4 linked regions of the Astyanax mexicanus genome follow. The protein of the gene in region 3 interacts with the protein of the main gene of each other region in a pairwise test. Links are inferred from orthologs where the notes say so. Each region holds a gene or a part of one and is shown on either strand. Other genes may lie near its edges.

What was found.
Region 1: the proteins of arl6ip1 (region 3) and shmt2 interact in binary tests that used the Homo sapiens proteins (3 or more experiments, as listed by UniProt). The two-hybrid records come from large-scale screens. The link is inferred for Astyanax mexicanus from reciprocal best matches to the Homo sapiens genes ARL6IP1 and SHMT2.
Region 2: the proteins of arl6ip1 (region 3) and inpp5ka interact in binary tests that used the Homo sapiens proteins (3 or more experiments, as listed by UniProt). The link is inferred for Astyanax mexicanus from reciprocal best matches to the Homo sapiens genes ARL6IP1 and INPP5K.
Region 4: the proteins of arl6ip1 (region 3) and gad2 interact in binary tests that used the Homo sapiens proteins (3 or more experiments, as listed by UniProt). The two-hybrid records come from large-scale screens. The link is inferred for Astyanax mexicanus from reciprocal best matches to the Homo sapiens genes ARL6IP1 and GAD2.

What each region holds. Positions count from the first base shown.
Region 1 is NC_064412.1:9,782,298-9,789,416, forward strand, and holds the start of shmt2 (serine hydroxymethyltransferase, mitochondrial), read left to right. Parts: upstream 1-4,107; 5' UTR 4,108-4,183; coding exon 4,184-4,216; intron 4,217-7,119. UniProt on the Homo sapiens protein: Catalyzes the cleavage of serine to glycine accompanied with the production of 5,10-methylenetetrahydrofolate, an essential intermediate for purine biosynthesis.
Region 2 is NC_064425.1:30,527,524-30,534,573, reverse strand, and holds the start of inpp5ka (inositol polyphosphate 5-phosphatase Ka), read left to right. Parts: upstream 1-4,044; 5' UTR 4,045-4,466; coding exon 4,467-4,708; intron 4,709-7,050. UniProt on the Homo sapiens protein: Inositol 5-phosphatase which acts on inositol 1,4,5-trisphosphate, inositol 1,3,4,5-tetrakisphosphate, phosphatidylinositol 4,5-bisphosphate and phosphatidylinositol 3,4,5-trisphosphate.
Region 3 is NC_064426.1:19,378,846-19,385,862, reverse strand, and holds the start of arl6ip1 (ADP-ribosylation factor-like protein 6-interacting protein 1), read left to right. Parts: upstream 1-4,005; 5' UTR 4,006-4,112; coding exon 4,113-4,157; intron 4,158-6,768; coding exon 6,769-6,902; intron 6,903-7,017. UniProt on the Homo sapiens protein: Positively regulates SLC1A1/EAAC1-mediated glutamate transport by increasing its affinity for glutamate in a PKC activity-dependent manner.
Region 4 is NC_064413.1:51,300,831-51,308,187, forward strand, and holds the start of gad2 (glutamate decarboxylase 2), read right to left. Parts: upstream 3,025-7,357; 5' UTR 2,402-3,024; coding exon 2,332-2,401; intron 2,047-2,331; coding exon 1,984-2,046; intron 1,780-1,983; coding exon 1,630-1,779; intron 665-1,629; coding exon 431-664; intron 1-430. UniProt on the Homo sapiens protein: Catalyzes the production of GABA.

The sequences.
Region 1 (7,119 bases), on a different chromosome or scaffold from region 3:
CAGTGATGCTGCAGTCAGTTTGAAAAGGGATGGTGGCTGGCTTCACATGTATCAGAGGAGGCATGTGCTGGTCTTCACCCTCCTAGTGTTAAGCGCATTAATAGTGATAGGGGGATACCTTGAGAGTGGTCTGGGTATTGGCCTTCTAAATTGGGGAAAAATAATAATAATTTTAAAAACATAAAAACTGCCCTCTATAATTTTGTTTGCAATAGTTCTTTATGAAACTAAAATGGTTCTTCTAGGGCCATCAAATCTGTACTTTAAATCCAGTAATCATTCTTGAATTTTGAAACCTGGAAATTAAAGAGGTAAAGTCATCTTTGTAGTATCTTCATTTTAAATGTGTATAGCAGATCACCACTGTCATTTAAAAACCTCTGGATTAAATCTTCAAAATGCTAACTTTACAGAAGAAAAAAAACCTTCTTAACTTTTAATGGAAGAATTTTTATTATATCATTATATCTAAACTACAAAATGAAATTCTATCAAAAATCATTAAATGCTGAATACAGAGATAGTATTTGTTTTGCACAATAGTAAAAACATACACTCAGAACATATGACGATATGAGTTTTCAGGTATATCCATTATCTTTAGCTACTTATAAACTCCTCCCAACAGAACAGGAGTTGTGGCCCAGATGTTACTCTGTTTTAGAGAGATTATGCGATATTTATGGTTGTTATTTATGGAGGGCATTCTCTATTCTATGTGTTTTCCTAGACAATGCTGTGAAGAATTACAGGTTTAGTGTTTTACAAACTCTTGTTTGTTATTTTGGATCCTCCTCCTGTTATTCTAAATTGTAGAGCATGCTCTTGGATTACAGCCCTTGGTTTACAACAGTATTACCTTAGATGTTTCTGAAGGTTGCATCCAAGTGACGAAGTGGCATTAGGATAAATCGGGGGGTGAATAAAGCTGCTAAACTATGTATTTGGATTTGTATATGCATATGCCATATACCTAGTAGGTAACCAGTGAAAAGTAATGTATGTAAAGAAAGAAATTAACTCTATGATTACCTCTATATATATAATGTAATGAAGGAACCAGATCAATTTAGCTTAAGTATTAAAAGTAATTATCACATATGTATGCTGGCCTAAAGATGCAAAACTAAATGGATGTTGATGAGTTGCTGACGCTGGACTCAAGACACGGTCACGTCTCATCTACGTATTTATTTTATTCTCTTTTGTTTGCGCGGTAAAGCACCAAAAATCAAATTTTGTTCATTTCTGGACAACCGATCAGTCTGTGAAACTAAGAGGCTATCTGGATCAGGACTGAAATTGCAGGTCTGTGAATAAAGTATTGCTTGATAATGTGTATATTTGACATTGGAAAAATTATTGTGTGTAAATAATGTATCTGAAATAAATTATTAAATCTGGTCAGATTGGTGTCATGTAATTTGTGGATGTTCACAGTGAAGATTATGATCTATTGAAAAGCCTACATTAATTATTAAAAGTGTGTTTTCTGGCTGCCTTACTAGATTACAGAGAAAGTCATTTTGTGTGTGTGTGTGTGTGTGTGTGTGTGTGCAGGTGTACAGTAATGCTGATTAAATGTTAACGTTGCAGGCAGAGCTCATTCCTGACAGATAAACTGCAACTCTCAGTATCTACTGCATTAATGGCTGAATATGTAATTCTTGGTATTTGCCCCATTTTTTATTAAGTGACTACTTTTATTCTGTGTAAAAAGCCTGACTGCATAGAACACAATGGCCTACTGAACCACTGACACAAGCAATTTGGGAATCCCTGATGTAGAACTGATATTAATTAAGAACTCTATACTCTATATCCTTAACTGCACCACGGAGCGTATTACTTTCTCTTTGACTCTATATGAGTCTATATGAATTGGATTATTCTTTATATCAGGGCCATTATTATCTTATTATGTTATAACATTATAACACATGGGGCAAAATAAATAATTGAGGGGGCTCAACTATATTCACCCAGTGAAAGGGCTTGTGATATAAAATTTATATATGTATTTATTAATATTGTCGCAATACAGCTTTACAGAAATGTGGTTTCAGGACAAAGAATCAAACAAAACAATGAACATACAATATATAACCCCCAGTGAGTGACAGGGCCAAGGGAAAGCTCCCTCATGTACTGACAGGGCTAATTTATACAGTAGTATGAAAAGGTTTGGGAACCCCTGATAATTTAATGATTTTCTTTTATAAATCATTGGTTGTTCAGATCAAACAAAATTAGGCAGGTGCATAAATTTGGTGACCGCCAACAGGAAAATTACATCAATATTTAGTAAATTCTCTTTTTGCAGAAATAGCAGCCTCCAAATGCTTCCTATAGCTTCTAATGAGAGTCTGGTTTCTGGTTGAAGGTGTTTTGGATCATTCTTCTTTACAAAACATCTCCAGTTTAGTCAGGTTTGATGGTTTCTAAGCATGAACAGCCCGCATTAAATCACACCACAGATTTTCAATAATATTCAGGTCTGGGGACTGAGATGATCTGAGATGATCATTCTAGAACGTTGTATTTGTTCCTCTGCATGAAAGCTTTAGTAGATTTTGAGCAGTGTTTAGGGTCATTGTCATGTTGAAGTATCCAGCCCCAGCGCAACTTACGCTTCACTCCTCCACAAAAATCCACCTCACTATTTTAAGTCTTAAGATTAAGAACTAAAACATTTTTGTTTGGTTTTAAAATTACCAATGTGTTCATTAGATTTTGTTTTTTACTTTTTTAATCTACAAGTTGTCTGTTACCTCTTTTTAAATTTGAATTTGAATGAATAAACCAAAATTGCAAAAGCACATTTTTTTGTTTCTTCTTCAGTACAGCCATGATATTGTACATGACTTGCGGGCATCAGGGAGCCACTTTGATAATTGGAAGAGATTTGAGATGAAATGCCATCACGGGAGAAGAAAGATGTCTGGATCACTGTCAACAGGTAAACTATTACTGATGCCATCGATTTTCAGCAGGGGGATTTTAGAATTCAGAGTTTAGGGGTGAAGAGCATTTTATATATATATATATATATATATATATATATATATATACATGTATATATATATATATATATATATATATATATATGTATATATATATATATATATATATATATATATACATATATATATATATATATATACATATGTATATATATATATATACATATATATATATACATATGTATATATATATATATATACATATGTATATATATATATATATACATGTATATATATATACATGTATATATATATATATATATATATATATATATATATATATACATATATGTATATATGTATATATATATATATATATATATATATATATATATATATATATATATATATATATGTATATATATATATGAATGAAATTCTTGCCAATGTCCATAAATATGTGCTTCTATAATGTATATATAGAGATTTTATTGTAAACGTGGCTTCAATCTATTTTTTTACTTTTTGAAGCCAGACAGCAAAGACAAACAAACTAAATAGGTTTAAACTCACTTCTGCATGGTAACATTTGCTTAAATGGTGATTCATTGCTTATTGTTCATTACTCAAAATATTTTTATTGATGTTTATTGTTGTCTTGCTGTATTAGCCATTACCTAATAAAGCAGTAGAAATTATACACTACCTGATAGTACAAAGTAAAATAAGTACAGTATACAGAAAAATTTCCTTACTTTATATATTTCCACAGGATTTTCTATTTTAAATGTTTCTTCTTCAGAATAGCAATAAGGTTTATACTGCAAAAAGGGAAATTTCTGAAGAATATCCCATATTTCCTTTTATACAGAATTAGTATTCCAGTTGACATTTCAATGTTAAATCAACATTGAATCAACATTGATGTTATGGTTGAATCATGGTTGAACTTAACCATAGCTCACAAAAACACAACAGTAAAATAAATAGAACCTCCAGGAATGCTGATGAATTTATGCCAAATTAAAAAGCAATTACAGCAAATTGCGTCTTTTAGCAGCATTATGGGTTTGTAGGCCAATTTCTACAAAAAAACTACAATTCCCATGAACACCCTGCGCACGTTGCTCTAGACTACCGCTGGCTTGTGGGACCAACGTGTGCAGGCAGAGCCTCGAGACGCCGCTCGCTCGTTCACTCACTCACTCAGCGCTGCCGTGATGTTGACACTGACACTGAGACAGCTCGCCCGGGTGAGTATAAAGCTCGGTTCTCCTATTAAAGGACATTAATAACGCACACAGACACAGCTGCGGGGTATTTTTGGAGCAGTATGTAGTAGCTAGTTGGCTCGTGCGCTGGTTTGGGTTGTAGCACCAAACAAACGGTAGCGTTAACGGTTGGCTAACGCTAGCTGGGCTTTAATGTGTAGCTCAGCTAACCTAACCCTAGCTATGTTTGTCACTGGAGTGCACTGGTAGGTGTTTTCACACTATTTATTTCAAACAAGACGGCAAATAAAGTGAATTTAGCGAAGCTTAGATAGTTAACGCTATCTAAAATAGCTTCCTATCTAGTGCTAATGTTATTTTGTGAACGTGGTAGCCAGTTTAGCTAGCTAGCATGCATGCTAACTGTCCAAAGCATGTAAAAAAATGTTTTTTCTTAAATGTCTATATTTTTGGATAAAACACTATTATTGTCACAGTTTTAATTGTGACAAAAATCTGATGTTTCAAACCTTAAAACTTAGCAAGCCTAAGCTAAGGTATGCATTTTACCTTTTAAACTCGCTGTAAAGTTATCCTGAATAAACTGACACTATCATTTCTTATCTAACTAGCTAGCAACCATATAGCAACACCATTATTGCCACAGTTTAACTTTGTTAAATGTGCTGAGTGACAAGAAGCTAATGTTTCAAACCTTATAACTTGGCTAACCTTATGCAGTTTACCTTTTAAACTCGCTGTAAAGTTATCCTGAATAAACTGATACTATCATTTCTTATCTAACTAGCTATTAACTATATAGCAACACCAGTATTGCCACAGTTTAACTGTATTAAATGTGCCAAATGACAAGAAGCTGATGTTTCAAACCTTTAACTTACCTAACCTAAGCTAAGTTATGCATTTTACATTTTAATCTAACCTAACTTGCTAGTAAATTATCCTGAGTAAACTGACACTAACATTTCTTATTTAACTAGCTAGCTAACTAACTATACAGCAGCCCAGTAGTTTTGTGTGTATGGTATGGTGCTGCATGTGAAGTTGAAGAAGTGAACTGAAGTGAAGCGATGATGCAATCATGCAGCCTGTCTTTCATCAGAACTTGTGGAGCTACCTCTGCACTGGACAGCCTGCAGGCTTCACCTACTTTCCCCTGATCTCCTTCACTCACCCAGGCCCCTGTCCACTTGAGGGGAAGTGATGTGTTAGAGTGTGAAGGCCCTGCAGAATCTGCAGCTTTATTGCAGTACAAACACTGCAAACAATATTCAGAATGTATCTTTAGGTCTGTCATGATTACTATTATTATGTGATTTTTTTGGACAATATGTTGTACCATAAGTAAATGCAACAAATGATATTGTCAGCTAAGATCGTTTTATGTAGTTGGAATAATGTAATAGCATAATAATGCAATTATGCCTTTCTAGTGCTAGACAATATATAGATATTTTAATCTAATATATATTTTATTTGCTTTCAGCATTGATCTAGGACAGTTACTGTTAGTATGTGGTTTTATTTTGGTACAAGGGACGCAGTACAAGTGCTTTATATCTAAAAAGTGACTTGAGTAGAAGTAGAGATGTTCTTTAAACACCACACTTAAATAGAAGTACTAAAGTATTAAAAAAAAACTCAAGTATTGCAGTAAGTAGTTTATTGTAAAATGTAGTACTAAACTGCTGAAGGTAAAAGTATTCTACAGTGTTATGTAGTTATTACAGAAAGCAGTGGAACTTTCTCAGAACAAAAGGCAGAAGGCAGAACGCTGCTGCATAACATCCAATTTTTAAGTACTATTATTATTTAATTACTATTAAAATTAAATAACTGTATTGTGATACTAATCTGCATATACAACAATTTATTGCCAGTAAGCAGCCCTAATGTTTTCTTACTCTGCCCATGTGTGTAATTTAAATATAAGATTATAATTTTACTACTGTTGTGTCATGGAATGAAATCATTAGCTTTTTTTAGACACAACTTTTTGTGTAGACTTAATTGGGTAATTGGGTGGTTAAAATATAAAGATAGCGCCTAAATGAAAATGTGTGTTGATGTTTTCTAAGATCATTACACAGTATACTACTTTTCCTGTTGCTGAATGAATGAACAGCATCATCCTGTTCTTAGTGGTTTGCACTAGAAATTCAAATTTGCCAAGTCCATACTGCCAGCTTTGCTAGTCTGAACTAGGTTTACTTTGTATTGACAATCCCCTTCTTTATTGGCTGGAAGGGGTGTGCTAGATTTAGGTTAAAACCTGCAGAAAGGAAGCTTTTCAGGTGGAGGGTTGGAGACCATTGACAATAACAAAGAAAGCCCTGTTCTAAGATCTAAGAACATGTCAAAAATGTTTACAGCTGTGCTGAACCAGACTTTAAAGCTGCACATGCCTCTTAACCATACTACTACGATAAGAGTCATACGGCAAGAGTCCTACCTAAATGATTCAGATGTCTCGAATGCCCCAAATGTTAATATAATAAAGTTAATATACTAATTGTTATGCCTTATGCCTGAGACCAGTGAACAGTTTACTGTGTTCTTTAAAATGTATTTTAAAGACACTTTGTGCAGACATTTTTTAGAGTTTGTTTTTGAGCATCTTAGTCTGTTTGTGTAAAAACTGCAAACAATAACTTTGCTATAACATAAAAAGAGAGAGCTTAAAGCTATTAGTGAGGAGAGGAAAATAAATAGTAGACATTTAGTAGAACTATGGATTTCCTAGCCCTGTTTACAAAAGGAGTGTAAGAAAATGCCAATACATCAAAGTGTTGTGATAGTATGTTTTGCAATACTGCATTCATTTTTAAAAACACGATTTTTAGTTAGGAGTTTAGATGTTATGGTTGGTGTGAGGCACAGGTTCAGTATGTGTTGTGTTTAAACCCTAACCTATAGGTAGCAGT
Region 2 (7,050 bases), on a different chromosome or scaffold from region 3:
TGTAAATTATTGATGGTTTTGAAGATGTGGGGGGTTTTAATGATTCTCTCTGTACCGTGGATAATGGCATTTTACACTTCTCTTATATTTTACATGAAGTTTTTTACTTTACTGTCAATTAAAAATTCCCTGTCTCTCTCTCTCTCTCTCTCTCTCTCTCTCTCTCTCTCTCTCTCTCTCTCTCTCTCTCTCTTGTCTCTCTCTCTCTCTCTCTCTATGTCTGTCTTTATCTCTAAATAATCATACAGTTTCATTGCTTGTAGATTGCTACACAACAGACCTCATCTTTAGACATTAGTTAACTTCCCTCAAACATACATTCATTACATTACATTAATATTACATATAATGCAAAACCTGTGGATGTGTATGCATATAATACATGTGCCACGTGCATAATTTTAATGCATTTTTTGCCAAATGGGAAATCTCATTTCACCCCTAAATGTTTTTGAAAATTGACCCTTTGCATGTCAGAAATTTAGGAAGATTGATAAGTTAAATACATGCTGATTGCTAATTTTGTGAAGACTAGTACTAATTTTACTATATATCAAGCTACATTACAGTATGAAAAGATATAAATATAAATTTGATTGTAATAAAGACTATGGTGATCATTTGTGTGGACCAGATGTTTATTTTTCATTGGTTTATTTTTTCTAATAAGCCAATTTATTTTTTTCTATCCATTTCAATTTTTTGTTAGAATATTCCTGAATACTTTCTATTTGACAGTTGAGGCATCTTAATTTTAGAGTATAATTTTGTATCACTGATAATGATAAAATTACTTTCAATATATGACAAATTTGTTTCATCAACCATGTTACAACCATGACTATGTATTAAGCAACAGTAGCATTCTTAAGTCAAAAATTTTATGTGAAATTAAGAGTTATGTATTTTGGATAAGATTAGTACATTTTGTTAACAAATTAACAGATTATTTGCAATATTTCTGGATCTAAATATTATGAATATTTTGTGTATTGATAAAGTAAACCTAAGAATTGAGAGCAATTAAACTTTTATTTTTAAGTAGTAGCAGTGGTTTATTGTATATAATGCGTAATGTAATATATTTGCTGTTTGGCTTTGTTTTTGGTTTTATAATTCAGTAATTCTGCGTGTGTGTGTGTGTGTGTGTGTTTGACAGGTGTGAAGATGGAGCAGGAGGAGGCCTTGTCCAATGCCCTGAACTCCATCAGTCTGGACCAAAAACTGGACTCATTCAGGTCACCTTTTTTATTTCTGTCTTTCTGTTTGACTGGTTTAGTATTATGCTCAAAACATGGCAGTGTGAGATATACACACACTTTGTGCTCTGCAGCAAAAAAGCTCAGATAAAATCATGTTTTAACACTTTAGATCCTCATTGTGAACAGTACAGCCTTTCACTTTGGACAGAATGAAAAGGCTAGTCTTGTAAGCAAAAAGTAAGATATTAAGTTTCTCACCACATGTCAGGCTGAACCGCTGAATGAATGGTCTTTGTTTGGAAAAGGGGTCACTTGTAAAGCAGCAGTTTTTATCACACTTTATTGTTCTGATTACAGTCAGACCTCAGCTTCAGAGACATTTCCTAACCTCTAAGTTAGCTTCCTGATTTTACAGCTAAATAAACTGATCAGAACTGACAGCATTATTTTTGACTCTAAGAGGCTTTGCTTTTAGCTATGTCCGTTACTTTTAGTTGGCAGAGGATGTGTAAATGTAACAAAAAAGCATTTTTTTAGGACCCTGAGGGGTGATTTATAGGTATGTTTATCTGAGGGGCACTATGCTTAGCTATGTTCACCCAAGGGCCACTATTTTCAGGTATGTTCACCTGAGGGGCACTATTTTAAGGTATGTTTACCTGAGGGGTGCTATTTTTAGGTATGTTCACCTGAGGGGTGCTATTTTTACGTTTGTTTACCTGAGGGGTGCTATTTTCAGCTATGTTCAGCTGTTTTAAGGTATGTTCACCTGAGGGTTGCTATTTTTAAGTATGTTTACCTGAGGGGTGCTATTTTTACGTTTGTTTACCTGAGGGGTGCTATTTTTAGGTATGTTTACCTGAGGGGTGCTATTTTCAGCTATGTTCAGCTGTTTTAAGGTATGTTCACCTGAGGGGCACTATTTTCAGTTACGTTCACCCAAGGGGCACTATTTTTAGCTACGTTCACTAGACCTGTCACGATACAACATTTTCGGGACGATATATTGTCCCAGAAGTTATTGCAATAAACAATAATTTTGTCATTTTAAAGGGACACTATAGAAAATGCTTTTTTCCTGCATCTGGAATCCCAAAGGAGCTTTAAGACAATGTGCCACATAAAATACTAGCTAGCATAATAATACTATTACATTTTACAGTAAAACTATTATTTTTTTTTTTAAGAACAGACGTTGTGCTTCCAATATAAGAAATATTTAAATATGCTAAATAAAAAAGTACAATATATATATAATATATAAAGTAACAACAAATAGATTAAAAACATTTACATTGATTCAACTTTTTTTTTTTTTTTTTTTTTTAACTCTGGACACAAAGGCACTATTTTCAGGTATGATCACCTGAGGGGCTCTATTTTTAGGTATGTTTACCTGAGGGGCTCTATTTTCAGATACATTTACCTGAGTGGCACTATTTTCAGATACATTTACCTGAGGGGCTCTATTTTCAGGTATGTTTACCTGAGGGGCTCTATTTTCAGATACGCTTACCTGAGGGGAGCTATTTTCAGGTATGTTTACCTGAGGGGAGCTATTTTCAGGTATGTTTACCTGAGGGGCTCTATTTTCAGATACGCTTACCTGAGGGGAGCTATTTTCAGATACATTTACCTGAGGGGCTCTATTTTCAGATACGTTTACCTGAGGGGCTCTATTTTCAGATACGTTTACCTGAGGGGCTCTATTTTCAGATACATTTACCTGAGGGGCTCTATTTTCAGATACATTTACCTGAGGGGCTCTATTTTCAGGTATGTTTACCTGAGGGGCTCTATTTTCAGATACATTTACCTGAGGGGCTCTATTTTCAGGTATGTTTACCTGAGGGGCTCTATTTTCAGGTATGTTTACCTGAGGGGCTCTATTTTCAGGTATGTTTACCTGAGGGGCTCTATTTTCAGATACGTTTACCTGAGGGGAGCTATTTTCAGATACGTTTACCTGAGGGGAGCTATTTTCAGGTATGTTTACCTGAGGGGAGCTATTTTCAAGTATGTTTACCTGAGGGGAGCTATTTTCAGGTATGTTTACCTGAGGGGAGCGATTTTCAGATACATTTACCTGAGGGGCTCTATTTTCAGGTATGTTTACCTGAGGGGCTCTATTTTCAGGTATGTTTACCTGAGGGGCTCTATTTTCAGGTATGTTTACCTGAGGGGCTCTATTTTCAGATACATTTACCTGAGGGGAGCTATTTTCAGGTATGTTTACCTGAGGGGAGCTATTTTCAGGTATGTTTACCTGAGGGGAGCTATTTTCACATACGTTTACCTGAGGGGAGCTATTCAGGTATGTTTACCTGAGGGGCTCTATTTTCAGATACATTTACCTGAGGGGAGCTATTTTCAGATACATTTACCTGAGGGGAGCTATTTTCAGGTATGTTTACCTGAGGGGAGCTATTTTCAGGTATGTTTACCTGAGGGGAGCTATTTTCAGGTATGTTTACCTGAGGGGAGCTATTTTCAGGTATGTTTACATGAGGGGAGCTATTTTCAGATATATTTACTTGAGGGGCTCTATTTTCAGATACATTTACATGAGTGGCACTATTTTCAGATACATTTACCCGAGTGGCACTATTTTCAGATATGTTTACCTGAGGGGCACTATTTTTTTTAGCCACATTGCTTGTTGCTAGTGAAAATTGTATTATAGCTATGGGTAAACTGTAGGTGTAACTGCAGAGGTTACATAATCCCAACTTCACACTTGAACCCTATTTTCAGGCAGGTCCGTTTTTGTAAAAAAAAAAAAAAAAAAACTGTTAATATATGCTTGTTTGAAATATTGGTTTGTCAGGGAACAGGAAACACAATCACAAATAAGTGTATGGTTTGCATTGGGAAAGCGCTCTAAATTTAGTCCGAGTGGTAGTAAAAGTCTTAAAACGTTTCATATTTGATCCCCTCTTACCTGCAGACACCCTGAATAGCTTGTGTGCTCACATGGCTCTGATTTGAGTCTACAGTAATTCTTCCCTAAGCCAGTCTGAAGTCCAGCCCACTAGAGCTCATGTACTTTTGCCTTTTCTGAATGAGTGTGAGCTACAAGCTACCACGACACTAAAGCTGAGAAATTCCTCACAGTTTTCTTTCATTGATTTGGCTGAACTTGAGACTTTCTTAACCATCCTTATTTTATACTAATTAAGTGGACAACGGTCTTGTTCATTATCTTAATTTAAAGATTAGTTGAAGATTGAGACTTCTTGAGAATTTGGATTCGGTGGAGACAGTATGGAGGAGATTACAGAGCATTTCAGCACCAAGGCCCGTCCGCGCTCGGACAGCGTGAACAGCACAGGCACTCAGTCCACAGGCAGCCGGATGCTCCTGCGACAGAGGCTTACCATGCTCATGACCTGCATGGATGACCTGAACTCTAAAGACAGAGTTCATGCACAGGTGTCCAAAACCCTGGATGAAGTGTTCGAGATCTGTGGGCAGAAAGCTCAGCAACGCCAGAAGGATCAGTTCAGGTTTTTAAGTTTTAATTGGGTTTATAGGGTTGCCATTGGTTTCACATAGGGTTGCCAAACAATATTATATTCTTGTTGATGTTAAATCGTTTCTGGTTTTAGAAATATAAAATTTTACTAAAATTTTAAACCAGTACTGAATTATGTGTTTCTAGAATACCAGAATAGTTTTTCAGGTAAAGCTGGGCAACGTCTTTACTTATTGTACTGCATTTGCAGCCATAAAATGTAAATTTACATGTAAATGTAAAATAAATGTAATGCAAATCAAGATAGATATAGTCATAAGTGGACTATGGACAAAGAGAGTTCATGCCCAGGTGGCCAAAACCCTGGATGAAGCGTTCGAGATCTGTGGGCAGAAAGCTCTGCAACTCCAAAAGGATCAGTTCAGGTTCAGTATTAACTGTGTTTTACATAGGGTTGCCATATTGGTTTTACATAGGGTTGCAAAACAATTCTCGCATTCTTCATTCTTCTTGATATTCACAGTCACATGCTTCTTGATTTTAACAAAATTCTGAGTTCTGGACAAAAATTTTAAACCAGTATTTGATTGTGTTTGTTGAAAACCAGAATAGTTGTTCAGGTAAACCTGGGCAACGTATTTACTTACTTTACTGCATTTGCAGCCAGACAGAAAATAAATGTAATGCAAATCAAGATCATTGAAGGTCATTCATTGTTTTTTCAGAAATTAAGAGTCTTAAAAATAGAGTTTTTCTGTTTTTGTTGGAATAACTGTCTCTTCTGTCTAGGTAATGCTTTGTAATAGATTTTAGAGCATTGTTGTGTGGATTTGATTGCATTCAGCTATAGACAAATTGGTAAGGTCAGATACTGATTGATATACTGTGGTTCTTGATCACAAACTCACTTTCCCACCCAAATTTATCCCCAAGATATCTGATCTGATGACAAGCTGTTCGTCTGCATTTGAATATCTGTGTCAGCAAACATTATTTTGATTCAGTTTTTAATAGAAACGTCTTGATGCACAACCCCTCCAGTAAAACTTGGGCCTCTTTACAACACAGTACAAATGTAAGAAATATTTATATTGCAGGTCAAAGGTCAATATATCGATAGCACTTAGCACCTAACAAACAATATATTGTGTAGTAGGTGTGTGCAATATGGCCCTAAAGTAATATCACGATATTTCAGGGTATCTTTGTGATACCGATATTTTTGGCGATATGACAAAACACTGAATAAAAAATAATCAATAATACTCAACTGCAAAAAAAATAAATAAAATAAATAATAAATGGTATTGCATACGATATGATATGGCACACCCTTAACTGAGACAAAAAAAAAAAACAAGAATTTTATTGAAACAGACGTTTATGATCCAGAATGTCCTGATATTAATAATGCACTCCATATATTTCCATATCTCCAGGATTAAAGTAAAATAAATGATACTGGACAGATATAATCTGTCTCTAGTAGATATATAATGGGAAATAAAAACAGTGTGAATTTTTCTTTTGCTAAAAATAGCAAAAAACTAGTACCCTGATGTGTTAATTAGGGGTGGGTAATTAAAGCATGATATTTCAGGCTACAATGTCATTCACGATATTCAAAAATGTTGGCAGTATTGTTGCATACAATACGATATGGCATTCTTAACAGTACAAGTGCTCCAATTGGTTATTTTATTGATGGTGTTTAAGAACCAATTTTGTTCATTTTTGTATAAAGAATCTTTTAAAGTTTTTAAGAAATTGATGAAAAGATTCTTCACTAGTTTGGAGGTTACATCACATCACTTTCAAAAAACAGTTCTTCTGTTTTGTCTCTCAATAAAGCCTTTGTAGCTCTGTTATTTTTAGAAGTGCAAGAGAGCGGATGCATTTTCTTGGAAAAGGCCAGGAAGCATTTTCTGGAAGCCTTTTTTTTTCTTGTGATAATAATAGCCATTTTTGTTTGATACTACAGTTCTTTTTTGTGTTCCTGAAGAAAAAGAAAGACCTTTGTTCAGTCATGGGCTCAGTGTATCTGTGTGTTTGTTGATCTGAAGGTCTGAAAAGCAGAGTTCTTAGAGAGAAAAATTTGTACTGTTTTTGTCACACTAGAAATAGCTAAGATGGATTAGACAGGAAGTCTCAGATCCTGATCTGCAGCGTACTTTGCCTGGAATGTGCCAATTTCTTGAAATGGCAATTTGTTAAACACAAGAATTAGGATAAAACATACCAAGGAGGATAAACATGCCATTCACATTACTCACAGCTTAATCAACCCATTCTACTTCTGCTTTGAGTCGTATTAAAGTATTATGTTTAATTTTGCTAAGTTTTATTTATATCTTTTTTTTTTTTTTTTAAACC
Region 3 (7,017 bases):
GTGATTTTGTTGTCAGCACATTCAACTTTGTACAGAACAAAGTATTCAATGAGAATATTTCATTCATTCAGATCTAGGATGTGTTATTTGAGTGTTCCCTTTATTTTTTTGAGCAGTGTATATATATATATATATATAACTAGTCTGCCAAATGTAAACCACACTACAACATTATTACTGTCCTCTTCTCAAAAATTGCTTAAATGTAGTCATGTTTAATCACAGAATATTGTTGTGATTAATAGAAAGGGATTTTAAGACACCAATAATGCAAATATGTGTTTCTAACACTGATTCTTTATTCACATTTTTAAATGCACATTAAAAAGAAGTCTCAAGAAAGAAAGTGCTTAGTCATGATCACATAATTCTGATGTGATTTTCATTATTTGTTTAATTGATTGACACCACTAGTTTTATGATATGCAAGATGTACCTTTTGATGTTATTGGAAGTTTTAAGTTAAACACAAGATTCAAGTTGCTACAGTTGTCATACATTCTTAGGACGTTGCAATAATAAGTAAAACATCTTTTTCCCCTTAGGAATGATATTGGAGGTATTAGGGGTGTCACAATTTTGATATTTCGTCGAAATCGATCGAAATTGTGTCATGGTCTCGAGCCTTGAAGTCAAAAAGAGCATCGACGATCCCTCCCTCTAAGCTACGCGAGCTACGCAAATGGCGCAGCACACTGTAGCCGACGCCGCCGGACATTGTGACTGCTCAAAGAGCAGCCCTTTCTCCAGAGAATGTGGACATTCTCATCTTCTTAAAGAAAAACTTGAAAATATAAAAATAACAGTTGTTTTGTCTAGTCTCAAATATGTTAATAGTTTTGGTACCTTAAGGAGCATCTGTCTCTCAGATAAAGTTAATAATATATCTTTGTTAAAGAAAAAAACTTGTCATTCTCAGGGACTGAAAAAGTCTTAGTCTTATTTTTCATGTTTAACTGTTATAGTAGGATAGAGTTCAGTTTGTAAAGGCTCTAATTGTTCTATTATTTTGTACATGACTGTTCCTGTATTTTTTATTATTTATTTTGTTAAGTTGCACATTTGCTGTTTTAAAAGTGCACACTGCTGCTACCAAAAAAGCCACTACATGGCATTACATATATATCTTAATTAAATTATTTTAATTTGACCATTAGTGCCTAATGTGGTTTATTACAGATCACTTGTATCACTTTGCATCATTTATATCAAGCCCACCTTTTGAAATATTGTAAATTTGATTAATCAAACCAATGGCTGACCATAGACTAATCTAAAACTGGCATAGGCCTCTCTGCTGTACGAAAAAAAAAAGAGAGAATCGCATGAAATCGTGACCATAAAATCGGAAATAAAATCAAATCGAGGATTTAGAGAATCGTGACACCCCTAGGAGGTATGGGTGAATATGAATATAACATGCCTTTTGTGTCTGCAGCATAGTTTTAAATTTAATTTAAACACTGTAAAAATAGATTGTTTAAGATTTACTATGAATAATCACAAACATATTGTTACAAATATAGATTATATGTTCATCTTGACTGTGAAGTACATTTTGTACATTTTATTAGAGGTGTCTTCAACTAAAGATTTTTATAGTCGAATCTGATTCGTCAGATTTTCCCTTTAGTCAACTAATAGTCGAATCATTTTTTTCCCTATAGCACCATAAAAGGGATCCCCATTCTCTTCTGGACTTTTTTTCACTTCAAAGGAAAAAAACTAAAACACAAGTTGGGAAATGTGTTGGCTAACTTTGTTAGACAGGCACTGTGCAAAAAAAGTATACAAAAAAAATTACAAAAAATAAATTATGTAATTTCTATTATTATTAGAAAAATAACAAACGAAAATAAACCCAAAATGTTGACAAAAATATAATCTAACGAATTTCAAAACACAGAAACGAAAAACGTTAAAATGGTATTAATATAAGATGATATAATATAACAGCTGGATCAAACAGTTTAGCGTCAGTCATAAGAAAAGCGCGCGCGGCATAGCGATTAAAAAAAACGTTTTAATAAATAAGGTCCTATCAAGTGAATTAAAATATATGGTATTAAAAGGTATTAAATTCACATATTTATTGTGTTTAATCAAGAGAAATCAGGCAAAATGCGCCGCGACGAGCTGAATTCAGCGCGAGGCTTTAATAATATAAAAACTCAGTTTAGTAAAATAAATTAAGATGAGTGAGGACCTGTAAAGTTAATAAAATATTGTCAAATATAAAGGATAGGTTGAGGTTTTGGGGAGCTGTTTCAGTTATTTTAAACTGAAACTAACTGAAACCGATATTATTCTGCGCACTATTAGATAGCCTTTGATTGTGTTTTAAATGAGTTTTTATTTTATATTAATTATTTTTTATTCATTTTAAATATTTTTAGTATTTTATTGATCAAAGTCTTTTGTATAAGCCTTCATCTCACTGTTTTCATCCTCCGCCTGGTCCTCCTCATCCTCATCACTGACCAGCAGCATAGACATCACTGTGTCTTTATGTCTGGGCACAGTCGGCCCAGCATCCACCACCATGTCACTTTTCTCCAGGGATGATCTGTCAGTGAGACTCTCGGCTAATTCTGCTACCGCTGAACACGCCTCTTCTCTTTGCGCATCAGAGAGAGAGGAGAGCTTCTTAAAGCAAATACACCGGCAGACGCTGACAGCCCTGTAGCGTGTTCAGCTCCGCTCATTTGGATTGTGCAACTGCAGGGGGTGATATATTAATGTGTAAGAAGCCTTTTTGTTAATGCGCACACGTAATTAAAAACAAATAACAGAAATTAGTACGATTTTATTTGACAAAAGGCAATATATTACAAAAAACAAAGACATTTCCTATAACAACTAATGCTTAGCAGCCTTGGGCACCCCCATGCAGTCAGAATAGTACATTCGACTATGAGGTTAATAGTCGAATAGAGGTCCTCCGAATCAAATAATCAAATCAGCGACTATTGCAGGTCACCCCTATTTTATATTTTATATTTATATTCTATTATAACTATTTTATACAGTTTTTTTGTTGTAATTGGAAGTTTAGGCATTTTCAAATATTCATTTAGCTTAACATTTAGCTATTTAATCCTGTCCACAAATTCCCTGCTCATCTTGTCAACTTTGGATAACCCTACTCTGTAAAAAAAAAAAAAAATAATAATAATAATAATAAAATAACCTTTGGTTTCAGTGACATCACAACCTTTAGACTTTTTCTCTATCTTCTTCAAGGGACTAAAGACATTCTGAATTTTCAAAACAGTCAAGATGGTGTTTTAATTTGCCTGTCTTACCATCAAAGTTCTCTTAAAGGTGTTCTAGATCTTATACACAGCACTAAAATCTTGTATCACCAGCTGAATATGATATGCCTTCTTTGTCTCTTTAAATATTGTTTAATTATTAAATTGTCATTATTTTTAAGTACTGTCATTTCTTTATTTTGGGGTGCTAGTCATTTTGAGAAAAAATATTATTTTGAGATGATTTCCCTAAAATATCAGGAAAGTAAGTAAATATTTTGAAAATAAAAACATTATTTTGAGATGATTTCCCTAAAATAACAAGTCAAAATAAGGTGAGTTCCCTAAAATATCAAGAAAGTAACTTATTATTTTGAGAAAAAATACATTTGTAAATGATTTCCCTAAAATATTAAGAAAGTAAGTCATTATTTTGAGAAAAATATATTTTGATATGATTTTCCTAAAATATCAAGTAGTAATTATTAAAAAAAAAGATAATTCCCCTAAAATATCAAGAAAGTAAGTCATTTTAGAAAAAAATTATTATTTTGAGATGATTTCCCTAAAATATCAAGAAAGAAAGTTTGAAACACTTCTCTATATTTTGACATGCATTAGTTATGCTTTTGGAATGTCGTGTGTAACAACGTAACCATTTCGGTTTTTGAATTAATTATAAAAAACTTTTATTCTTTCTTTATCTTTTGTATTTGAAAACCACATTTCCCATGAAGCTTTGCGCTCGAGTTTGAGATAAAAACATCCTGCTTGTAACCGTTAGCTGCCAGTGAGCTGCGCATTTCTCCAGTGAGGCGGTTACTTCTGCTAGCCCGGTGAATTCACAAACACACACACATGGACACCATGGCAGAGGGCGACAATAAAAGCTCTAATCAGCTGGTAGGTGTTCCGGTTTATTTACTCTACAGTGTGGAAACGAGTATAAAGGGAAAAAACTAACTAATTAGCCGGTTAGCTTAGCGCGGACTGTTTACAGCGGGGAGGGCTAGCCGCTCGTATAGCTAACTCCAGCTAGCTGCGCTAGTCCTGTCACTTTGATAGCCAGCGAGCTAGCTTAGGTTAGCCAAGCAGCAAGCTAACTTAGCTGGCTAAATTACTGATGTAAAATATATAGTAGTTTAAGTGTGTTCTCCTGTTTTATTATTAGCTTAGTTTAGCTTAGAATTATTGAGGTTACTAGGTTAGCTAACTGTAAATTAGCTAGCGTTCGCTGGTTAATGTTATAGTGAGCACGGATGCTGGAGAATTTGAGAGAAAAGCTAAAGAGAAGAAGACTTTTTAATCCAAATAACTGATAATGGTCTGATATGTTTGCTATATACAGGATATTTGATATGAAAAATACAATTATTCCTGCCTGCTGTTAAAAGCTATAGTCAAGCTTTATTAGCCAGTTAGTCAACTAGCTAACTAGCTAGTTAGGTTAGGTGTGTCCCCACTTCCCCTATTATTGCTCAGTGAACACATGAACCAAACCCTTGTTCCGTGATAAGATAATAGCCATATAACGCTAGCTCAGCTATGTCGACCACAAATGTACATTTAGCGAGTAACGAGGAATTAGAGTTATTAGCTAGTTAACGCTAGCTACGACGCGTTTTAAACTGACACCACCTCTATCAGTTGACATTTCATTTCCACCTTAAATGTAGCTGCAGTTAACTAGATGCTCAAGCCTCTACAAGCGCCTCAATAAAAGTACTGCATAATTTAAGGTGGAACGGGACATTTAAGTATATCTAAAGCTGCGTAGTCTTTAATTTGGGAGTAGTTTCCTACACGAATCTCACTTTATTGTCGGGTTATAGTGAATCACAATTATCTAATATAGTTAGCTAGCAGCCTTACTGTTAAACATATACAATTTTACAGAGCTGTAGGTTAAATAACCTACAGCTGAGTCAAAGAAATAGCTAGTTAGCCAGCAAGCTATAAGAGGTCTGTTTTTTTAGGCCTCATTCTAAAGCAAGTTTAAGTACAAGATAATCTAAGTAGGTATAAATCAGTAATGATTTAAGTTTTAGACTAATTATTTCATGACCTATATAGTAGCTATCTTGGGCTTAGGGCGGGACTGGGCATCCAGGCTCTGTTTGGCACAGGCCTAGCTTCTGCAGTATGTACCTGAAGTCTGGACCAGATATTGCCTGTATTGATGTATCGTGATTTTTTTATGTGGATGATTTACACTGTTATTTTTTTTGCTTATGGTGTTCTTGCCAATTGATAAATAATAGAACGTTGTAAAATGTTTTCTGCTTAATTTTAACATGCTATTTAAAAATCATTAAAAAACAATGGAATCAAGCCATAGCCCTATCCGGATGGGATTAGTTTCTCAGGGGGACGTTTGTGAAAAATATTTCACACTTTTATTCAGTGATAAAACTCTTGCATCCGGACTGCTATTGAAAAACAGGAGGACCAGTGAGTTTTTTTTGTCTTTTTCGGTCACATTACATTGTGATCAGTAGCTCCTCAATTTCCACTCGCTGTTGTGTTTTTACATGGCTGTCCATTGAAACATGCACCTAAAGTGTAATCCAGTTTGTTGCAGTGGACAAATAGCTATTTTATTAAACGCGAGGTGAAGAAATTCAGAAATGGCGTCCAGACAGAAATAAAATTAACAGACAACCACAGAGTTCAGCGAAAAACAGTAGGTAGTTCAGCCTGTAAGTTTTTCAAAGGATGTCTGACAAAAACACATACATGGTCGTTCTGGACGGGATTATAATCACAGAGGACCCCCATAAATGAGAAAATGACCCCAGGACCCCATGAGAAACTAATCACGTCTGGAGAGGGCTCATATCAGCCTTGTAAGACCAAAGAATTTTGTGATATCATAGCACCACGGAAACATTTATTTGTTAGCCTTATTAATTTTGATATTATAGAAATGATTCATCCCACCTCACTTGTGACTCCTGTGATTTTAAGACAGAGCTAGTGAGTGACAGTGAGGGTGTAATACAAAGATCCTGATTGGCTGTCTTTGTGCTTATTAGTGTTAGTATTGGTGTTTTCTGTTGACAGGATTTACACTCAATCTCTCTCTTTCATAGTGCAGTAGTTCATTTGCAGAGTGGGATGTATGCTAGTAAAAATATTATTTTATTATTATTATTTACCCAGTTTAAATTAGGTTATATGGCACTTTACTGACATTACATTCATCTACGGCTGTATCTGAAGATATTCAGGTTAAAATACATGTATTCAAGCTTTCAGTGACCTGAAAGGATATGCTACATTCTACTGTGTGTTGTTGCAATCATGGCACTGGGCACTGCCCATCCATGGAACAGGACAGAATGTTTTTGGGGATGTAATGCCTGTTATTTATCCCTATTTTACATGCTATACCTAAAAAACAGTACTGTCATATGGCATCACTACCTGCATAAGACAGATCGTGCTCATCCCTCCTATGTGAACAGACTGTTTTCTGTTCTGTTGTTGACTGTAAATGTTGTATGTAATATAGGCCCAGGAGACTGCGCAACTCGAGGAGCAGCTTCAAGGATGGGGGGAGGTCATTTTGGCCGGGGACCAGTTCCTGCGGTGGGAGAAGCCATGGTTCCCCGGTGTGCTGATGGGTGCCACCACAGTGCTTTTCATGTGAGTTAACAGATAAGACACAGTTCACACTGCCAACTCCACCACGCCCACACACTGCAATTAGAATGTGTTGTATAGGCCTCTAGGTTTTTGAACAGAATTATAGATAAAATCT
Region 4 (7,357 bases), on a different chromosome or scaffold from region 3:
TTGCGTCCATTGCAATTGAGAAAATCGGTTTTCTTATTTCTTGTGTATTTTTGCACTTATTACACACTGAGGCCTGTTGTCCAACAGAATTAACATTTATCAGCCAATCAAACAGCAGCTTAGCCCCGCCCACTGCATTGCACAAAATCAAATAATCATGTTGAGTTCTTTTTACCGCTTTGGGATGATTTTTGAATAAAAAAAAAGCTAAATAAAATTTATATGAAATACAAACGAGAATGCTACACAAATGATTACACTGCAATTAACAAAAATACAAATAATCTATATTTTAGTATGAATCACTGGAACATAATTCAGCTCTGAAAGGAATAATATAAATCAATAATTCTACAAATAGGCTATACGATATATATATATATATATACAGTATATAAAATATAAAAAGGGCTTCCAGCATTTCTCCTACCGGTTTTAATGGCGTATTTTAAGGTGGCTCGGCAGCTGATCAGAATATCATCCAGGGTTTCCGGTTCGTCCGAGAGCTCCCAGTTGTTCCGCTGGAGCAGCTCGTTCGGATAGTGGAAATCGATCACCTTGGTGGATCGATCGAAAGACTCCACGATGTAGGCCAGCAATATATCCACCACCTCCTGCAGGAAATTCATCGTCTTCATATCGCCGTCCAGCGCGGGGAGCAGGTCTGTACCGAACCCAGATTATTATAACGATTATTATATGATAATAAATACCATCAGAAAAGAACATCGGCGAAATGTGTTGAATTAATGATAAACGGCAATCTCAGTTTTAGCAAAATCAGTTTTGGTTTTAAATAAATCAAATAAGTCAAATAAATGAATAATGCTTTACCAAAAAATCCCAAATCATCAGGATTTATAAAAAACAAACCCAAAAAATCTCATATCAGTTAAAAAAAAAAACATATAATTTACAATCATTTTCTTTCTTAAACTGTACATCTAATCACGTATTAATGATCGTTAATCATTAATAATTACCAGTAAGACATAAATATAAAACAAATGCATAAATAAATGAAACATTTAAACAACAGGAGCCCCATTATAACGCGAATGAAAAAAAATAAAACACACATGCATGCATTTAGTTGGTAGGCTTTATACATTATTATACATTATTATTAATACATATCTATTTCTAGACACACACCCGCACGCACGCAGACACGCACACACACGCGCGCATTCACACACACACACACAGACACGCACGCGAGAGCACACACATACACACATGCACTGTACTTTAAGATGTATGCTACGTTCTGTGTATATAATGTTGACTTCCTTTTTAGAATATATATAAATACATATATATAGAAAATATAAATATATTCTTGTTTTTTTTTTTCAAAGGAAAAACAGGCACTTTTTACAGAAAATGACGGGGAAATTAGTAAATAATAAATACACACATAAACACAGAAATAAATACAAAATAAAACCCCCAAATAAATATACATTAAAACAGACAAATGTTGCACTATACATAAAGCTTAATAATAATTTCGCTAGATATGGCCATGACCTTGCGTGATGTGTAGGTTAGCTTGGCTAATCCGGCTGCATCCAAAAAACGAAAAAGAAAAAGGAAAATAATAATACATCCCAGAATAATGTTTACCTGTTGAATAGAGGTGAGAGAAGCCCACCGTGGCTTTGGAGCAGATGCATGGTTTATCACTGCAGCTGCAGCTCTCCGCCAGAGGGTCTTCTCCCTGTTTAGCTGCAGAGGGGTCTGCGCCCTTCTCCATCTCCCCGACATTCAGCAGCGCTTCAAATTAACGTTACATTATATTATTTTATTTTATATACTTTTTTTTCTTCACAATTTGATATATAAATATTTAAATTTGTGATGTAGGCCTATAAATACACTAAATATATATAAGAACCACAATAAAAATGTCACTACTATTTTATATAGTCTTATAATAAAGATTAGCGCCTCTTTTTGGTGATAAATAAATGATCTTACCACATAATTTCGAGCCGATGCCTCCTCCGAATTTTTGGGCCGCCGCTTGGCACCAAGCCCGAGCTAAAGCGAACGAGAAAAATAGATACAAAAATATTAAAATCTGAATTTTAGATTGTAAGAAACGTAGTAACTAACGTTATTTCTGGTCGAAAAAATAAGGGACGTATTTAAAAACTCTTTAAACAATTTAAACACCTTAAAAAACGAATAAAACACGAAATAAACGCTTTAGCGCTGTTTTAAGCATTTTAAGCCTTTATGCTTCCTGTTTTGGATCCTTATTATATATATTTTTATTTTTTTGTTATAAATCATTAGCTAAAAATTAGCCTCCGCTGTACTCACGCGTGCTCGAGCCGCTGTTGTTGTCTCCCGCGTTCTGGGCGCCCAGAGACCAAAAGCCGTGCGAAGCCATGGCGCGAAAACGACGCTGTCTGCGGCTAGGAAAGATAAACCGAGCCCATCCAGGGGTGATGGAGGGAGGGAAGAGGACAAATAAAGGGGGAGAGGAGGGGAGAAAAGGGGGGAACGGCGCGGGAAGCTCCGCTCAGGTCCTCGCTGGATGTTGGATGCTGGTGTTGCTGATGCTGTTGCTGCTGTAAAAAGCGCAGCTGCGTACGCGAGCGCGCGTGCATGCAAAACAAATCTGACGCACAGAAGCGAAGTGAGCGTGCTTTTCTTTTTCCCAATCCCGGCGCTGCGCAATAAAAGTCCACACGCGCCACCGGTGCGCCCTTTCTCGCCTTGCCTTTTTTATTACGCAGCGCATGCACGCCGCCGCCTCTCGCGCACGCGACGGTGGAGCTGCGCAGCTCTCCGGTCACTGCATGCTTCCAGAGAGGTGCTGCCGGAGAGACCCTTGCACGAGCGCGCACGAGCTGTGCGGGGAGGTGGGGAGAAAGAGAGAGAGCGGGAGAGAGTGCGAGTTTGCGCGCCCGCGAGCCGGATTAAGGCTTTGCTTAATTTATTTTTTTGCAGGTCGCATCATAATCCAGCGTGCGTGGAGGGAAAAAAGTAGGACGCACTAACGGTGCACTAATGTTAGAACCCCGTACCTACCCTCCCACTTCTCCCCCCACCCCCCACACCCACGCACACAAATTCCAGCATGATTCACTTCTCGTGACGACCCGCTCTGCGTCCCCGAGTCGTGCGTGACAGTTCCTGGCCCCTCCTGGAGCCCTCGTGGCGCACGGCTTAGCTCGCGCCTGTGCGCAATTTTAGCTCAAGATGGTCAAAGTACATAAATATATAAATATGTGTGCATGTGTGTGTATATAATTTTGGGGTGGGTAGGCAAGTAGGTTGGTGGGATGGGGGGCTGGATGGGGGGCGTTGAGTAGGGGGGTGGGGTTGGGGGGTAGAGGGTTAGGGTGGAACCCAAATCCTCTCTCTCTGTTATGCTGGTGAAAGCAGAGCTCTGCTGGTTTTGCGTCTACAGATATGCGGGTATTTCTCTGCAGCTGCGTGAATAATGCGCAGAAAGCCTAAAAAAAAGCCCTTTAAGGAAATAAATGGTGGGAGAGCAACATCTAAGAGTGTGCATTGCAATATATATGTATATATACAGCTTTGGAAAAAAAATGAAGAGACCTCTTATTCTCTAATCTACGAACAACATTCCTCCTAAATTACAAATAAAAATATTATCATTCAGAGCTTTTATTTGCAGAAAATGAGAAATGGCTGAAATAACAAAAAAAGATGCAGAGCTTTCAGACCTCAAATAATGCAAAAAAAAACCAAGCTCATATTCATAAAGTTTTAAGAGTTCAGAAATCAATATTTGGTGGAATAACCCTGTTTTTTTAGTCACCGTTTTTAATGCATTGTGGCATGTTCTCCTTCACCAGTCTTACACTGCTTTTAGATAACTTTATACCACTCCTGGTGCAAAAATTCAAGCAGTTCAGCTAAGTTTGATGGCTTGTGATCATCCATCTTCCTCTTTATTTTCCAGAGGTTTTCAATTGGTAAAATCAAAGAACCTCATCATTTTTAAATGGTCTCTTATTTTCCAGAGCTGTATATATGCATGATATACTATTTATGATATATATGATAATGATAATTGGGGTCAGGTTTTTCTTCACTATATAAAGGAAAACCAGTTTCCTTCCTTCCCTCCTTTCCTCCTATACCCCTCTATTTCCATTTGGCCTCCTTTAGGCCCTGCCTAAAATGTTTTGTTTGTATTGAACTTCTATGTCATCTGTTGCTAAATGTACATCATTATTTGTAAGTCGCTTTGGATAAAGAGTCCGCTAAATGTAATGTAATGCAATGTTATTAAAGTCAGGGGTCCTAAAGAATATATATTATACAGCAAAATCAACAGCTTTTTAAGCACATACCACTACACAGTACATTGCTACATTAAAGGCATAGCCCACACAAAACAATCTAAATAATAAAATGTAAAAGAATCTGAACATTAACTGTTATGTTTAAACATCAGTGTATTGAGATTCACTGCATGGTTATCTGAATTAACTGTAGAAGTACTCATATATGGGAGCAACACTCAGTTTCAATATATTATTCACATTGTCCTTTCCACCTTAAAATATATTTCCCTTCCACCTTAAAATGGTGCATGCATGATATTGACCTGTAGTATATGTTTTATATACTTTAAGACTTTTTTTATACATTTCTGCTTACATTATGTGCAGAAATGACAAACAGTCCATATAAACCTAAACCTGGATTCTTATTTGCATGATCTGTTCCACCTTAAAAGCCAAAGATGTTTATTTCAAAGTGCCTACAAGCCAAAAGCTTGTCTGTCAGGACAGCAGTATTTAAAGTGGAATTGTAAATTTACTGATGGCAATTAGCAAGTATATGTAAAAAAGCTAGGTAGCATCTACTTTTATTTAGTGACAGTTACAATGTTAATGAAGAAGCAAGCCAGGTGACTAAAAATATTAGTGAAGCAAGAGATAACAAGGTATGATCTATTTTAGGGGTATTTTAAATTGTATTACGATATTATTACGATATTTCCAGGCATGGATATTGTAAATTTAATATGTAACATTTAACATTATTGGTAAGTAACATGAAACATAACTGTTTTTATTTTTTTTACATAAAAGCTTTGTTAGAACACACTTTTTGCACCCATGTTTTGCAGAATGTTAAAAGTTAGATGTTTTACCTTCTTCCAGTTGCTTCCAAAATTCATCAGGCTTGTTTAGATGCTCCTTTAAGAACCTCAGGTGCTGAACTTTGTAGTGATGAAGACACAGTAAAGCCTTTTTTTTTATGACATTTTGGTGATCATAGTCCAGAGCCTGATCAATCTTCCTGAAGTCTTCCTCCAGGCCTTAACTTAAAACTTAGGAAACGACTACTTAAAAATAGCTTTGCTAGGCTGTGTGTCAGAGCCACACAGTACACACACAGAACAGCCATTTTTCCCTTTGCATTGCAGTGCATATGTGCGGAGAACTGTGCATAACCAAAGGCTGCAAGAAAGGATACATCAGCTGCGTCCTTTTTTTAATGCACCCTTAAAACCATTCCAAACCCAAGCTCTTAGGAATAGCCAAGAATTTGTTCTTAGCCTTATAGGGTATGTTCTTAGTGCTGGAGAGTTGCAGCTACTTAGAGGAGCTCATGGCTGCTGATTGTTGTAATTGACATCACCTGTGAACAAGCCACAGCCCTAGCCAGCTAATTAAGCCTTTCAGTAAAAGTAGCCTGAGAGCTCAAATCTCTCATGTGCCCAAAGCTTTGCATTCTGCTCCTTTATTTTCTTTTTTTAGCTCTAAAATTTTACAATAAATGAACAATTATACAATAATCTTGTGGAAAATCTTCTATAAAAAATTATTATTCACAGTAAAACAACAATTTAACCAGCAACCATATAGCAGCCACCTAACAGCACCCTAGCAATCACCACAGATACCAAAGCAAGTCTTTAGCAACCATGTAGCAACCACTAATCAACACCCTAGCAACCTCCTAGCAACACCGTAGCAATCACCACTGATACCATAGCAACTCCTTAACAGCCACCTAACAACCATTTAGCAACCTCATAGCAACCATCACAAATTTCATTACATTACCTTAGCAACCAGTTAGCAACAACATATCAACCACTGGGGATACCACAGCAACCACCTTACAACACCTTAACAATCTTAACGATCATATGAGCCATGTTAGCTATGCATTCATCATCCACCACTTAACAACACCTTGGCAATCACCTAGCAACACCACAGCAATCACCATGGACACTTATCAACACCATAGCAAGACTACCAACCACTTAGTAACCATGTAGCAACCACCTAGGAATCACCTAACAGCACCCTGGAAATCATCACAGATACCATAGCAACTCCTTAGCACCATAGCACCATAGCACCATAGCAAAACACCTACCAACCACTTAGCAACCATGTAGCAACCACATAGCAACCACCTAACAGCACCCTAGAAATCACCACAGATACCATAGCAACTCCTTTGCATCAATGTAGCAACACCTTAGCAACCACAGTACTTGGATTCATTATTTTAATTGCCTGACAACACTATTCAAATAGTAAAAATCCTAAATGTGATGAAAAAAACAGAAAATTAAATCACCAAATTTGCTAAAAAAAAGATTTTATCTGGCCCTAGTAGTGCACCACATCAGTTATTGTAATGTTCTGAGAGATTTTTTTTTGTTTACCAAAAATGTAACAATTGTACATTCATTTTGTGTAAAATGTGGAAATAATACATTTTATCTTTCTTATCTTATATATTTTGATTATTCACAGTAACACAACAATTTAACCATAACCTTCTTTGTATAAATCTGTATGTTTGACTCTCTATCCTCAAACACACTCCCACTCCACTTGAGAGCCACTGTGTTTTAGGGTCTTGCGTTGTCTTTTTGTCAGATCAAATCCCAAGTTATTGCCCTGTCACTGTGAATTATGGGATACTGGGAGTAAAACAGTGGAGACATGGCCTCTTTCTCTCTCACAAATAAAGAAAAAGCAGTAACTCCAAAAAAGATCCAGTACAATCACAACAAATTCAATAGTTAGCCGATAGGCTATTTATCCATTTTTGGTTTCAAATTAAAAGCCCCAGGGCAGAAAATCTAAAAGAACACCATAGCAACCACCACACAAAAAAGACTTCTGCATCACTTTAGCAACCAGTTAGTAACAACAAAGCAACCACCTGGGATAGAATAACAACCACCTAACAATACCGTAATGATCTTAGCGATCGGGGTCCATCATACATCCATCATACATTTCCTTCAGGAAGTTATATCATTGCTATGACTTGATTATAAGATAATATCATCTTGTTTTTTAGGGGTGATGGAAGTGCATAAATGGAG